Linked DNA regions of Arabidopsis thaliana. The protein of the gene in region 3 purifies or fractionates together with the protein of the main gene of each other region. This does not show direct contact. Each region holds a gene or a part of one and is shown on either strand. Other genes may lie near its edges. The genes, in order: AT5G24350, AT2G42700 and MAG2.

The links.
Region 1: the proteins of MAG2 (region 3) and AT5G24350 purify together in Arabidopsis thaliana (affinity purification with mass spectrometry, with the first as the bait; one study listed by BioGRID). This does not show direct contact.
Region 2: the proteins of MAG2 (region 3) and AT2G42700 purify together in Arabidopsis thaliana (affinity purification with mass spectrometry, with the first as the bait; one study listed by BioGRID). This does not show direct contact.

Annotation. Positions count from the first base shown.
Region 1 is NC_003076.8:8,299,110-8,302,863, reverse strand, and holds the start of AT5G24350 (neuroblastoma-amplified sequence protein), read right to left. Parts: upstream 1,760-3,754; 5' UTR 1,554-1,759; intron 1,374-1,553; exon of another isoform or gene 1,359-1,373; 5' UTR 1,328-1,358; coding exon 1,241-1,327; intron 1,165-1,240; coding exon 1,113-1,164; intron 964-1,112; coding exon 790-963; intron 426-789; coding exon 227-425; intron 33-226; coding exon 1-32. Other genes in the region: AT5G24340 (3'-5' exonuclease domain-containing protein), read right to left, coding at 3,016-3,312, 3,641-3,754. UniProt on the Arabidopsis thaliana protein: Required for proper maturation of seed storage proteins. Forms a complex with MAG2, ZW10/MIP1 and MIP3 on the endoplasmic reticulum that may be responsible for efficient transport of seed storage proteins.
Region 2 is NC_003071.7:17,776,604-17,780,357, forward strand, and holds the start of AT2G42700 (vesicle docking protein), read left to right. Parts: upstream 1-1,670; 5' UTR 1,671-1,860; coding exon 1,861-1,908; intron 1,909-2,070; exon of another isoform or gene 2,071-2,122; coding exon 2,123-2,266; intron 2,267-2,479; coding exon 2,480-2,629; intron 2,630-2,921; coding exon 2,922-3,365; intron 3,366-3,532; coding exon 3,533-3,754. Other genes in the region: AT2G42690 (alpha/beta-Hydrolases superfamily protein), read right to left, coding at 63-1,079. UniProt on the Arabidopsis thaliana protein: Required for proper maturation of seed storage proteins. Forms a complex with MAG2, ZW10/MIP1 and MIP2 on the endoplasmic reticulum that may be responsible for efficient transport of seed storage proteins.
Region 3 is NC_003074.8:17,585,033-17,588,786, forward strand, and holds the start of MAG2 (RINT-1 / TIP-1 family), read right to left. Parts: upstream 1,676-3,754; 5' UTR 1,547-1,675; coding exon 1,252-1,546; intron 1,105-1,251; coding exon 1,003-1,104; intron 817-1,002; coding exon 716-816; intron 631-715; coding exon 1-630. UniProt on the Arabidopsis thaliana protein: Functions in the anterograde transport of storage protein precursors from the endoplasmic reticulum (ER) to the Golgi complex and in the retrograde transport from the Golgi complex to the ER.

The DNA.
Region 1 (3,754 bases), on a different chromosome or scaffold from region 3:
GTCCATCTGACGTAAGTATACTGAACGAACACCTGCAGGCAAATTATCATTAGCACAGACCACCAGTCAAAATTTCATATCAGCCGTAGACCTTAAGCAAACAAGTATACTGTAATGGTCAAGGACACATTAGGATCCCAGAGTACTCCTTTAGTCTGTTTTTTTTTTTGAACAAAGTACTCTGTAAGTCTTAATCAATAAGAAATATGAACAGAAGGAAACGTACAAGCATGATGGTTGCAAATCAGAGTCGTCCTCCATTAATCCTAATACTGGTGCAGAAACCTTCAAGTTTCTTTTTGTGACCTGACTTATTTCTTCGCCATTAGCTCTGATGAAAAAGAGGGTCTCACTATCATCCACAAGACCAAGAACATCATGTTTTTCGGACCATACTCCAGAAGTAAATGAACCTGATATGCTGGCTGATGCAGAATACAGAAGTTAGAGGACCATAGCATAGACATCAAAGGACCATAAGTTAAGAAACAGAAAGAAGGAAAACGGTATTGTGAGGAGAGCATATTTTTTTAATGAACAGAATAAATGACTGGTACAGTCTAAGGTTTCACAAAACGGTGATTCCACATACTAAACTTAGAGAGAAAAAGAAGCAAATGCAAGTTTTATAGGCGTTTGTTATCAGAGTAAATCAAGTAGATAGTTTTTGACAAGATAAATGCAATATTCTACAAATTCGTTTATTGAGTGTGCTATGGCAATGACCCCGAAAAACATAATCAGGCAAACATTTGTGAAAGCAAGGGAAGATATGCCAGAATTTCTTACATGTAAAATTGCCACAAGGTTTCCTGTAATCATCATCCTTTCGCAAGATAGTAACGTGATTTCCAGAAGTGACAGCCACAAGTTCTCCTCTTGGTGAAATAAATAACGACACCGGCTTATTAGTTTTTTTCGGATTCCAGTATTCACTCCACTTTTCCTTGAGTTGACTAACACCTTAATACCATAAGAGCACAGAGATGAAGAACCAATGAGCTATACTGCTAATTTAATGAAAAGAGATGTACACAAACATGATTCCTACAAGCTCATAAAACCAAAGATTCAAAAATCACAGATCTCTGAGTTAACCATCTGCGACTGACCTTTGATGGAAACAAGTGACCGAAGTCCTCCTTTCGAATTAGTTCCATCTGCCTAAACTTGGACAGCGGATCAAAGCGTAAGATATAAGTAAAACACTAAATTGTATAAGCAATGATGAATCTTGTACCTGAGGAAGAGGAGGATATCTAGGAACATAAGGCAATGAAGCATGATGACGTATCTCATACAAAACTTTTCTTCCAGGACTTTCCATGATCAATCGAGATCGATCCTCACAGCAGTTTCTAGGAGAAGGAGATCTAATTAGCAGGAGAGAGAGAGAGAGAGAATCAATATAATTTTCTTCACACCCTAACCCCAAAACATCAGCACTCTCGTCGATTTAACCATAAAGTTTGAATTAAACCCTTGACTAATTACTTAATGAATTAGTGCATGGAGATGAATTGGAAGGTGTGAGACAAGATTTGATGACATACCTAAGCACGATTTGGTAATTACGCTCAGAGAGATCGGCGGCGAATTGAGAAGAGAGAACGCAGAAATTAATGGTGTGGCGAAGATCCGGCGGTACGACCTCCTATGGTGGTGACTGTAGAGACTGTGATGAACAAATTTCACGAGGAAGGAGACGAAGACACTATACGACCGGTGAATGTGAACTTCGCCGACGAGCAGAGAAAGTGATGACGACTCCGTAAAAAAAGTTATACATACCTTCTGAAATCAATCGGTTCGGTTCAATTTAGCCAAGAACCGTCCGGTTCAACCATGAAATTAATGTTCTCTTGTCTTATTTTCTTTATACGGCAGATAGGCAATCCAACCGGTCGGTCCAAATTTAAGAGACAACACCCTATGAAACTATTAATTCCGATGTGAATGTGCCCGTCGAATATCTGACTCACCGGATTTTCTAATAAGTCTAAAACATATTTGAAGTGAGCAAAGAAGAGTGAACTAAATACTTATTTGATCTACATAGTTTCGTGTTGGGGCAATTGATCTCTTGTTTAGGTCTACAAGACAACTCTTCCTCAAGTAGGAACACTGATGCTCAAGAAACGCTTTCCAATTATACCGGTTAATTCATCTGTCGCAAAGATATCATTTTCGAGTTCATCACCGTATTTGCTAGTGAAAGAAAAAAAATGGTTGAACAAGAATTCAATGGAGAAAATTAGGAAGAGAGGTAATGTTGATTTGATGAGGTTAAATTTTTTGCCTAACTAATGAACTAGACCAATCCAATCCACAATACCTAAATTTGGTATATCATCATATTTAAAATGCATGAATCTACGGCTAGAAAAGCCATCATCTCAAGAAAGCATATTGAAAATAATATTCCACTTTGAAAATTATGCAAGAATTTAACTGGTAAATAGAAAATACTACAAGTCTATTCTTCTCATAAGATAGTAATGTGTTCAACTTTGTAAAACAAACTAAAACATTTGTACACGGTTAATAACCTCTGGAACACATGTGTGCAAACGACACAAGTTACAAACACATCTTGTTTGCTTAGAGACGTTTGATATAAAATAAAAACATTTGAGGAACTGAGGTAACGAGAGATTGAACACTTCACCAAAATTGTAAAAACCCAAAAAAAAAAAAAAAAAGTGAATCACTCACTCAACTTGCATACTTCCATGAACTTCTGGACTGCGTTATGATACTGAGTTCCCTGAAACCACATAACAAACATTAAATATGTCGGACACTGACTATTAGAGACAGAACAGATCAGAGCTATATAGGAAGTTATGAATCTTGTGGAGATGATTTCTGCTCTAAGACATGAACACATGAAGATGTTTTAAAGAAATCAAGATTCAATTCACCAACTAAGACTTCATACAAATATTAATTGGATCACTGATTTGATAAATATCGTTAGGCAACTAAAATTTGACTGTTCAATCAGCAAAACAACTAACATAGATGGACCAGATGATTTTTTGACACAAGGTATACTCGTTCAAGAACTATAATGCACAACGGCAAAAGATGGGGTAGGTGACTTACCTCCCAGTATAGTTGATGGCAGTTCATGCACTGCCAAAACTCTAAATTTTTGTTAAATAAGCAGTTGGGTATTCTTTGGAAACCCTTTGCTGCTTCAATAGCTTCTTCAATGCTTAGAGGTTTCTGAATAAATTTCCCATTGCACTTCGTACATCTGGACATCAGCTGATTTCCGCTGATCTTTAGCTGGAAAGTCTCTATCACCTGCGAAGCTTATTTGTTTCAGTAATTCACAAAAAATCCGTAATCATTCTACTGAATGTAAGAAAAGTGGTTGCACAGTGAGTGGACGAGGTTATTTTGGCTCGGTGAATCCAAGCATGCCATAATTACAGGTAGTGTAGAAAATGTTCCACCCAGAAAGTAAGGTTAAAAATAAATTTGTTAACTAGTGTCTTGAGAGATCCTATTCTTTAAAGCAAAATTTCCAGGGTATGTGTCCTTTTTGATTAATAAATCTAGTAAACCAAATCATGCCACATCACAGATCTTGCATAACAGCTTATACGTTGAAAATTAACTTTGTTTGTACCTCAAGTAGCTGCTCATTTTTAAGAAGACTCTTTACTCGATATATTTGATGCTTTGCCAAATCCTGGTGTCTCAACAATTTTGTATCTCTTGTTAATAGAACTCTGTTCTCTTT
Region 2 (3,754 bases), on a different chromosome or scaffold from region 3:
TAAAAGTTTCTACTCTGTATCGTTTGAGTCAAATTTGAAAGATTCTTCTCACAGATTCTTACCTGAAGATTATGCCAATCCCCTGGATTCCTTGAATCGCTTAGGAACGGTGACTTCTTTGTATCGATCACAAAGTTTATTCCTATGTCCACATACCCTAAAAGTCCCCCTGGGTATCGAGTTAAGAGATCAATCGTGTTCCTTACATGGAGGATCTTTAAGTTCTTGTGACTCATTACTTCGTCTCTGAACTCCTTGTTTCCTACCTGTGGACAACCAAAGACTATAGCAGTGACCGGAACATCATCACTGGAACCGTTCTCAGCTATATCATAGGCGGCCAGAACAGCCTCTGTAGCTCCCAAGCTATGTCCAGTCAACACAATGCTCGGTTTCTCGTCCTTATACTTCAACAGAAGCTCCTTGATCTTGGCTAACAACTGTGACCGTAGACTCAGCTTAGTGAATTTCGATTCGGGGTGATTAGAAGTATAGATTGTGAGCCACCCGAGCATCACCTTACACCCTTCTTCATCTTCACTGTCACTATCAAAAGTCGTACCTTCAACTACACCACCAGAACCATCCTGCTCGGGTCCGTGCAGCAAGGGGTCAGCTGAAGTTGGCCTAGCACCCAAAACATTGACCCACTCATAGTTCCTGCTCGTTCCTCTCAAAGCTATATAGATCTCACGGCGTCCTAAAGCCTTAGACCGTTCATCAGACGTGACAGCAATGTAGCCAAACCAGTTAGACTCACGGTCCCAAGAATCTCTTGATTGTGATTGGAGAAGCAAACCTTCGGGGAGAGAAACACGAGCTGTGGCGTAGAGGAAGTTTACAACCTCGTAGTCGGAAGCGTTTTCGAGCATGACCTTGTCGAAGAAAGAAGATTTGCCGTAGCGGCTGGCTCCACAGTACTTGGAGTTTTGGTCGTTGACGAAGGCATCGTAGGTGGCTTGACAAAAGTCGCCACAACGTAAGATGAGTTCCCTAAGTGATTGGTCTAATGGGTCTAAGATAGTGTCCCAATTCTTTGAGCCTAAGAGTTCTTCCCATGATGTGGTTGTTGTAGCCATTAGAGAGAAATGGTGTGTGTAAGGAGATAATAAGTGACTCTTGACTCTTAAGTTGTTTAACTTTATACAAATGGTTGTGGACTGGTGATGATGCTGTCTGACCCACTTATGTCCAAAGCGATAAAAGGTTATCACTGGTGTGGGAATATTATTGGCATATAGAATTATCCACAAACTTGCACATCATTCTCAACCATACAAAAAAGAGTAAAAATAAACCCAATCAAATAGAGAGAAGAAAATTCAACCAAATCAATCGATACACACGAAAAGAGACTTATTGTTTGTTTGCAACTAATCAAACGCGACGACAGGCTTGTCTTCGTCGTCCGGAATGGCCATGACCCAATCACCAGCCTCGGTCTTGAGCATGCCTTTGTTTTTCGCGACCCCACCAACACCCATCCTTCAATAGTGCAAATGATTTGTTAACCAATGTTATGTTTCAGTTAATCACTTTCATCTCCAATATATCCCCCTTTGATAACATTGCATCCTAGACCCGTTAACTAATATATGATGGGCCATAATAAATCAAAGATAATTCAAAGCCCAAAAAGTGTAAAAAAGCCCAACAAAGTGACGATCATACGACGAACGATATCAAGTTAAGCTATCATGTTCGTCGTCGGTGAGATTTCCCGGCGAAGCGAAAGCAGTGTTTCTCCGGTGGTTCAGGCATCAGTCTGATTTCAGACAACACATCTCATAGTAATTTGATTCTAACTGGCGATTTCACTCTAGCTCGACCAATTGTATCCAATTCTCGTAGCTGAGAGCAATGGCTCTGATCGATGTCGCGATATCTTGTCTCAATTCGATCCGCGAAGTAAGAAATCCGAATTCTCTTTTTTTTTTTTTTTTTTTTTTTTTTCATCTGGTCTCATCTTGTTACACGTTTTGATCTGCTGCACCTGAATCATTACGATTTCTCCATGATCTCGTTTTGCTCGTTTTTGTGTGTTCTTGGGAAATGTAAAAGTACCTTACTGTAATCCTGAACAAGTAAGGTTTAGATATTTTGGAAATGTTTTGTTTTGTAGATAGAAGAGGATGTAAAAGATGCGATTGTGTATATCGATGCTGGCTGCACAGAAAGTTTTCAATTTGTAGGAGCTTTCCCTTTGTTCTTGGAACTAGGTGCTCGAGCTGTCTGCAGTCTTGAAAACATGACTTCCTTAGATGCGGTAAGCTTGTTACCGTTTCTTTTTTTCCTGCACAATGTTGGCTAAGGAATATCCTATCAATCAACGGTTAGTGTTGGTAATTGAGGATCTAGATAAAGAACAGGAAGATTGTTATCCTCATACTTTTGGTATGAAGGGGATCTTTTTACCTAGAAAGTGAGAAATCTTCTGATTTAATTTATATGATGTGACTTTTGATGCCTTGTGCTCTAGGTGGCTGATTGGAATTCAAAGTCTGATTGTGCCAAGAGAATTGTGATTATGACATCTCGACTTCTCAATGATGCTCATCGGTATATGCTACGGTGTCTAAGCACCCATGAAGGTGTTCAGCGCTGCACCGTATTCACATCTATTTCAGAGGTGCTCTTCTTTAACGTTATCCTTGGTCTCATTCTTTATTTAATCTCTTTTTTTTCTCTGGATATATATATTGGCTTTTTTATTTTCTAGAACAATCACAAGCTATTTGACTTATCAACACTAGTGATCGTTATATAATCAAATTCAAAGTGATTGTAATGTATTCTCTAACTTAATTTAGCAGTTCTGCTTCTCTATGCCTTCTTCAAAATAATTTTCCATCTATAAGAGACTCTTCAGAATATTTGTTTCTTTTCTTGCGTCATTGAATATTAATCTGAACGTTGTACAGGGGTCTCACTCAGCTATCCCTGATTCACCTCTAGGTCCAGACGCGTATCGAGAGTATGAAACCTTACTTGTTCAGGATTACAATGAACATACTAAGAAAAGCGACAAAATATCTAAAGACAAAGGGGTTTCTAAGTTCTCTTCTGCACTTGAATCCCTTACTATGGAGCCTATTGAAAGCGAAAATGTAGATATTTCATCAGGTGGTGCACAAGGTTTGGTTGTCTCAGTTCACCACTTCCCCTTGATTATTTGTCCTTTCACTCCTCGAGCGTTTGTCTTACCTTCCCAAGGATCAGTCGCAGAAGCGTCCTTGTCCCGTCAACATGAGGATTCTCTTAGTTTTGGTTTGCCTCCCATAAGTACTGGATCTATGTCTGACACTGATGATGTTCCTCCTGGTGCAACTCTTACCGCACATTTTCTTTACCAGCTGGCCCTTAAGGTAAACTAACACTGCAGTAACCGCTTTGAACTTAATTCACGATGTTCATGAAGTACGTGAGCTAGAACACTAGAAGATATCTGTTTCCCTTGTTTGTCAATAATTTAATTTCTTCTGTACGTTTTTCTTAAATTTGTGACCATGTCGTCACTTTTTTAAAATTGTAGATGGAGTTGAAGTTGGAAATATTTTCACTTGGTGACCAATCGAAGAATGTTGGGAAGATTCTAACAGACATGTCAAGTGTTTATGATGTAGCGCGTCGTAAGCGATCTGCTGGCTTGTTACTTGTTGACCGCACACTTGATCTTATCACTCCCTGCTGTCACGGGGATTCACTTTTCGATCGTATCTTTTCATCTTTGCCTCGGGCAGAAAGATTTTCTTCA
Region 3 (3,754 bases):
CACCAAGTACAAAGACAGTGAGCTTACCATAGCCGAAACCCACTCTTCTCGGCAACTGTACCCAGCTAGTTTTGCTTCATCCACAAGCGGTTGTAACAACTCATCCATAGAATCGACATAGTCCCTTGTGATTTTATACACAAGGGCAAAAATGAATTCTGGCTTTTCACTCCACTTTGTAAAATGTCGCTGAGATGCAACTGTCAGAGGGTTGACCAGCTCTTCAATAGCCCAGAGTGGCTGGTGGAAAAGAACATTTTCTCCCTTATGGATCCCAAGCTGCCGCGACTTTCTTTGCAACTGTAACCCCTGCAGGCTACACAAGGCATGAAAACTTCCACAGTATTGACTTTTGAGGCTCCCTTCCATGTTGAAAAGCGGATTTTGAACATTTTCTGACTTTGAATCAAGACTTGCCGAAGTTAGTGTAGAAAGCTGAGGTGGCCATCGAAGAGAAGAAAGCAACGCTCTGTAATCAGCAATTGCCTGAGGTCTCATCATAGCTAAAGCTCTATCAACTCTATGATCAACAGCAGAAACAAGACGTGCCCACCGAGGATGTCTCTTTGCTACTGAACTCAGTATCTCTTCTGTCGTTTTAAGTGTTTTAATAGCATGTAGACGCACTTCCTGAAATCAGTAAAAACTTAGAACATTGAACCACACACACTGGCTAAAACTACGGAACAGTCTAAGCTGAAGACAGTGTGCTTACTTCAAAACCACTTGACCGAGATGTTCTTAAGTTTTTATTCAAAGAAGACATCACAGCATCCTCAATATCACCAACTAAAGTGTCAAGTTTTAGTGCAGTCTCTGAAACATAGAGAAAGATCTTAAAATGTTGAATACCACAGTGACCAAACTAAGAAAGAAGGTTGGTAACTCCAACTTTGGGACTAACTAATCCCGATCAACATCGATAACACCAAATCATAAAATAGAGCTAGTCTTTATCAGAAAGCAGCCATCAAATACAAAACGCCTTAACACCAAACATACCAGCATAAGCACGCACAGACTCAACTTGTGCTACTTCCTTTGCTAATGAAGGAAGATCCTCTCCGGCTACATGCTCCGTCGCCTCCTCCTCCTTTCCGCTATCTGAATGAATTAAACAATTATCAAATTCTCAAATTATAACGGGAATATATTCAATCTTCCATCACCAGGACTGAATTTACATATTTGACTACAACATTTCAAGAACATAATCTACATCCAGAAGAATCGTGATGAAATCATACGAACCTGACGCGGAGCGAGTAACGGAGGTAGAAGAAGAGAGATCAGCCAATTTGGCATTAACCTCGAAAAATAGACCACCGACGCGATCGGAAAACGAAGCGTAAGCAGCGAGACCTGACTCGAGCTGGCGATTTAATCCGGCCAATCTCTGATCCAATTCGGAAATCTCCGTCTGTAACTCGGAAACCAGACCCGTAGAATGAGAGAGATCCGTGGATTCTTTGAATCTGCCATCGAGAAAGCTAAATACCGAAGCGGAGAAGCTCGAGACCTGTGGAAGTGGTTTGATCGCCTCCATTTGCGATTCGTCGTGGCCTCAGTTTCATCAAGAACAATGAAAAATTGAAATTTCGTTGGAAGAAGATACTGAGTCAATGACTCGGAGTGTTAACGAGTTGCGAGTTTTGGTAACTCGGATTAATGGGCCCTGGTTAAGCCCACAAAAATGTTTTTAACATATCAAGTAAATTAAAACTGTAATGGCATTCTCAAAGAAATGACATTCTTTTATCGGAAAATTATCACTAAAATCTCCAACTTTTATTTGAAAACATTTGTTTAAATTCTCAACATCCAACGAAACGAAATAAATATCAAATTTATGTTGATTTTTCTAATAAATATCAAACTTATGTGACTTTCTTAATAAATACAAAATATTTGCTAATGGTCATATTAGACATGATGTTAAGTAGATTAACAGATTCCGTTAACAAAATTAATTTTTTATTAACATACCCGTTAATTCAAAACATTATTGCTTTCTATAACAACAAAACGTTATTGTTTTCTATAACAACAAAGCGAAAAAAAAACAAAAAAAAAACAAAGTGACGTCGAGCAAAATCTCCAAATTCAATCAATCATGGATCCCCAAATCGAGCAAAATCTTTAACCTTAAATTCCTATATGACTTGAAATTAAAAATTTAATTGACCCGTTATGACAAAAAGACGATGTTTTATTCTTAGAGAGAACGTTGTCATTTTCAATTAACGAGTCTATTAAGAGAAAATGAACTTTGATAGCAGGATTTGTTATCCCACTTAACGGTATGTCTAATATGGCTATATCAACAAAATTTTATTATTTATTTGGAAAGTCAATAAAAGTTTGGTATTTTACAGTATTTGAAAAATCGACAGAAATTTGATATTTATTTTGTTTCGTGGAAAATTGAGGATTTAAATTAACGTTTTAAACAATTTGAGGATTTTGATGACATTGTTTCCATTCTTTTAAGCCAAATTAGGATAATTAATCAATGGAATCGCACCAGCAAACTCAGGATTAGTATTTTGCATGCATTTCATATAAAACCGAGAGTGTGATGTACACGCGCATGTATATTTAAGTACATATGATTCCTAAAATAAACAATAAATTTCGAGTTGTCTAAGGAAATGTGTAGTATTGAGTCTCGTACATATTTGTATATATAAATCATCTTACACAATAACATAGAAGCGAATCATTGAGACAGAAACCATATGGCAAAGAGATCTCCGTAATCTTTCTTGGAATTCTATCGTACTAAAATCTAATAAAGTTCTATCAATATTTTAAAGACTCCTTCAACTTGGGTTTCTTCACACTTTCAAAAACAATATTTCATGTGTTTTCTTTTTGTGTACAACCTCTAAACTTGGTTGGATATAAAAAACACACAACATCGAAAATTGGTTGGGTGTTAGTGTGGGCTAAAAATTCTAATTTCCCAAGGATTCTTAGTTTGTGTATTTCTAATGTCCTTTGTATTTCTTATAATTTTGTTTGGCACGGATCATCTCTGTTTTAGGTTCTCTACTTTTTGTAATACATAATCTTAATCATCTAATGATATTATTTGGAATGAAAAAAGTGGAGCAATGACATTTAGCAAGAAACAAGTTTCTGTTAAAAAAAAAAAAAGTTTCTGTTTACATTTGAAAAATTTCAGAACTGATTATTACAATGAGAAGTAGACTTGAGAACTTGTAATCAATTGAGTGTGTATACCGTACGCTAAAAATTAATATTATATTAGAAAAGTTAAACCAAAGAAATAAAAACTAAATTAAAAGAGAGTACACATCGTGATTCTTCGCTGTATATTCCAAAAACTCATGTGCCCCGACGAGAGCTGAGATCCAAGCTGACCACGCAATAGTACCGTATATTGATTAGTTAATCACAATTCACAAATATTATTATTTGGATATTTTTGGGTTACATTTTATAGTTTCTTTTAATCCTCGGATTTTTAATTACGGATTATAAAAAACCAAAACAATACCTTAAGTTAGTAGTTTGAAAGTACACATATACATATTTAATCACACAAGTTGAGACGACCAAAAAATTTAATTTAATCACATAGTTTGCAAGATGTGCTTGTTTTGATCTGTCAAAAGAGGAATTGTCTCTAATTTATTTCCAAAATTATGAACACTCATATACGGATGTAATGTACATGTATAACTTTTATTTATTGTTTCACCTTATCAAAAAAAAAAAAAAACAATTT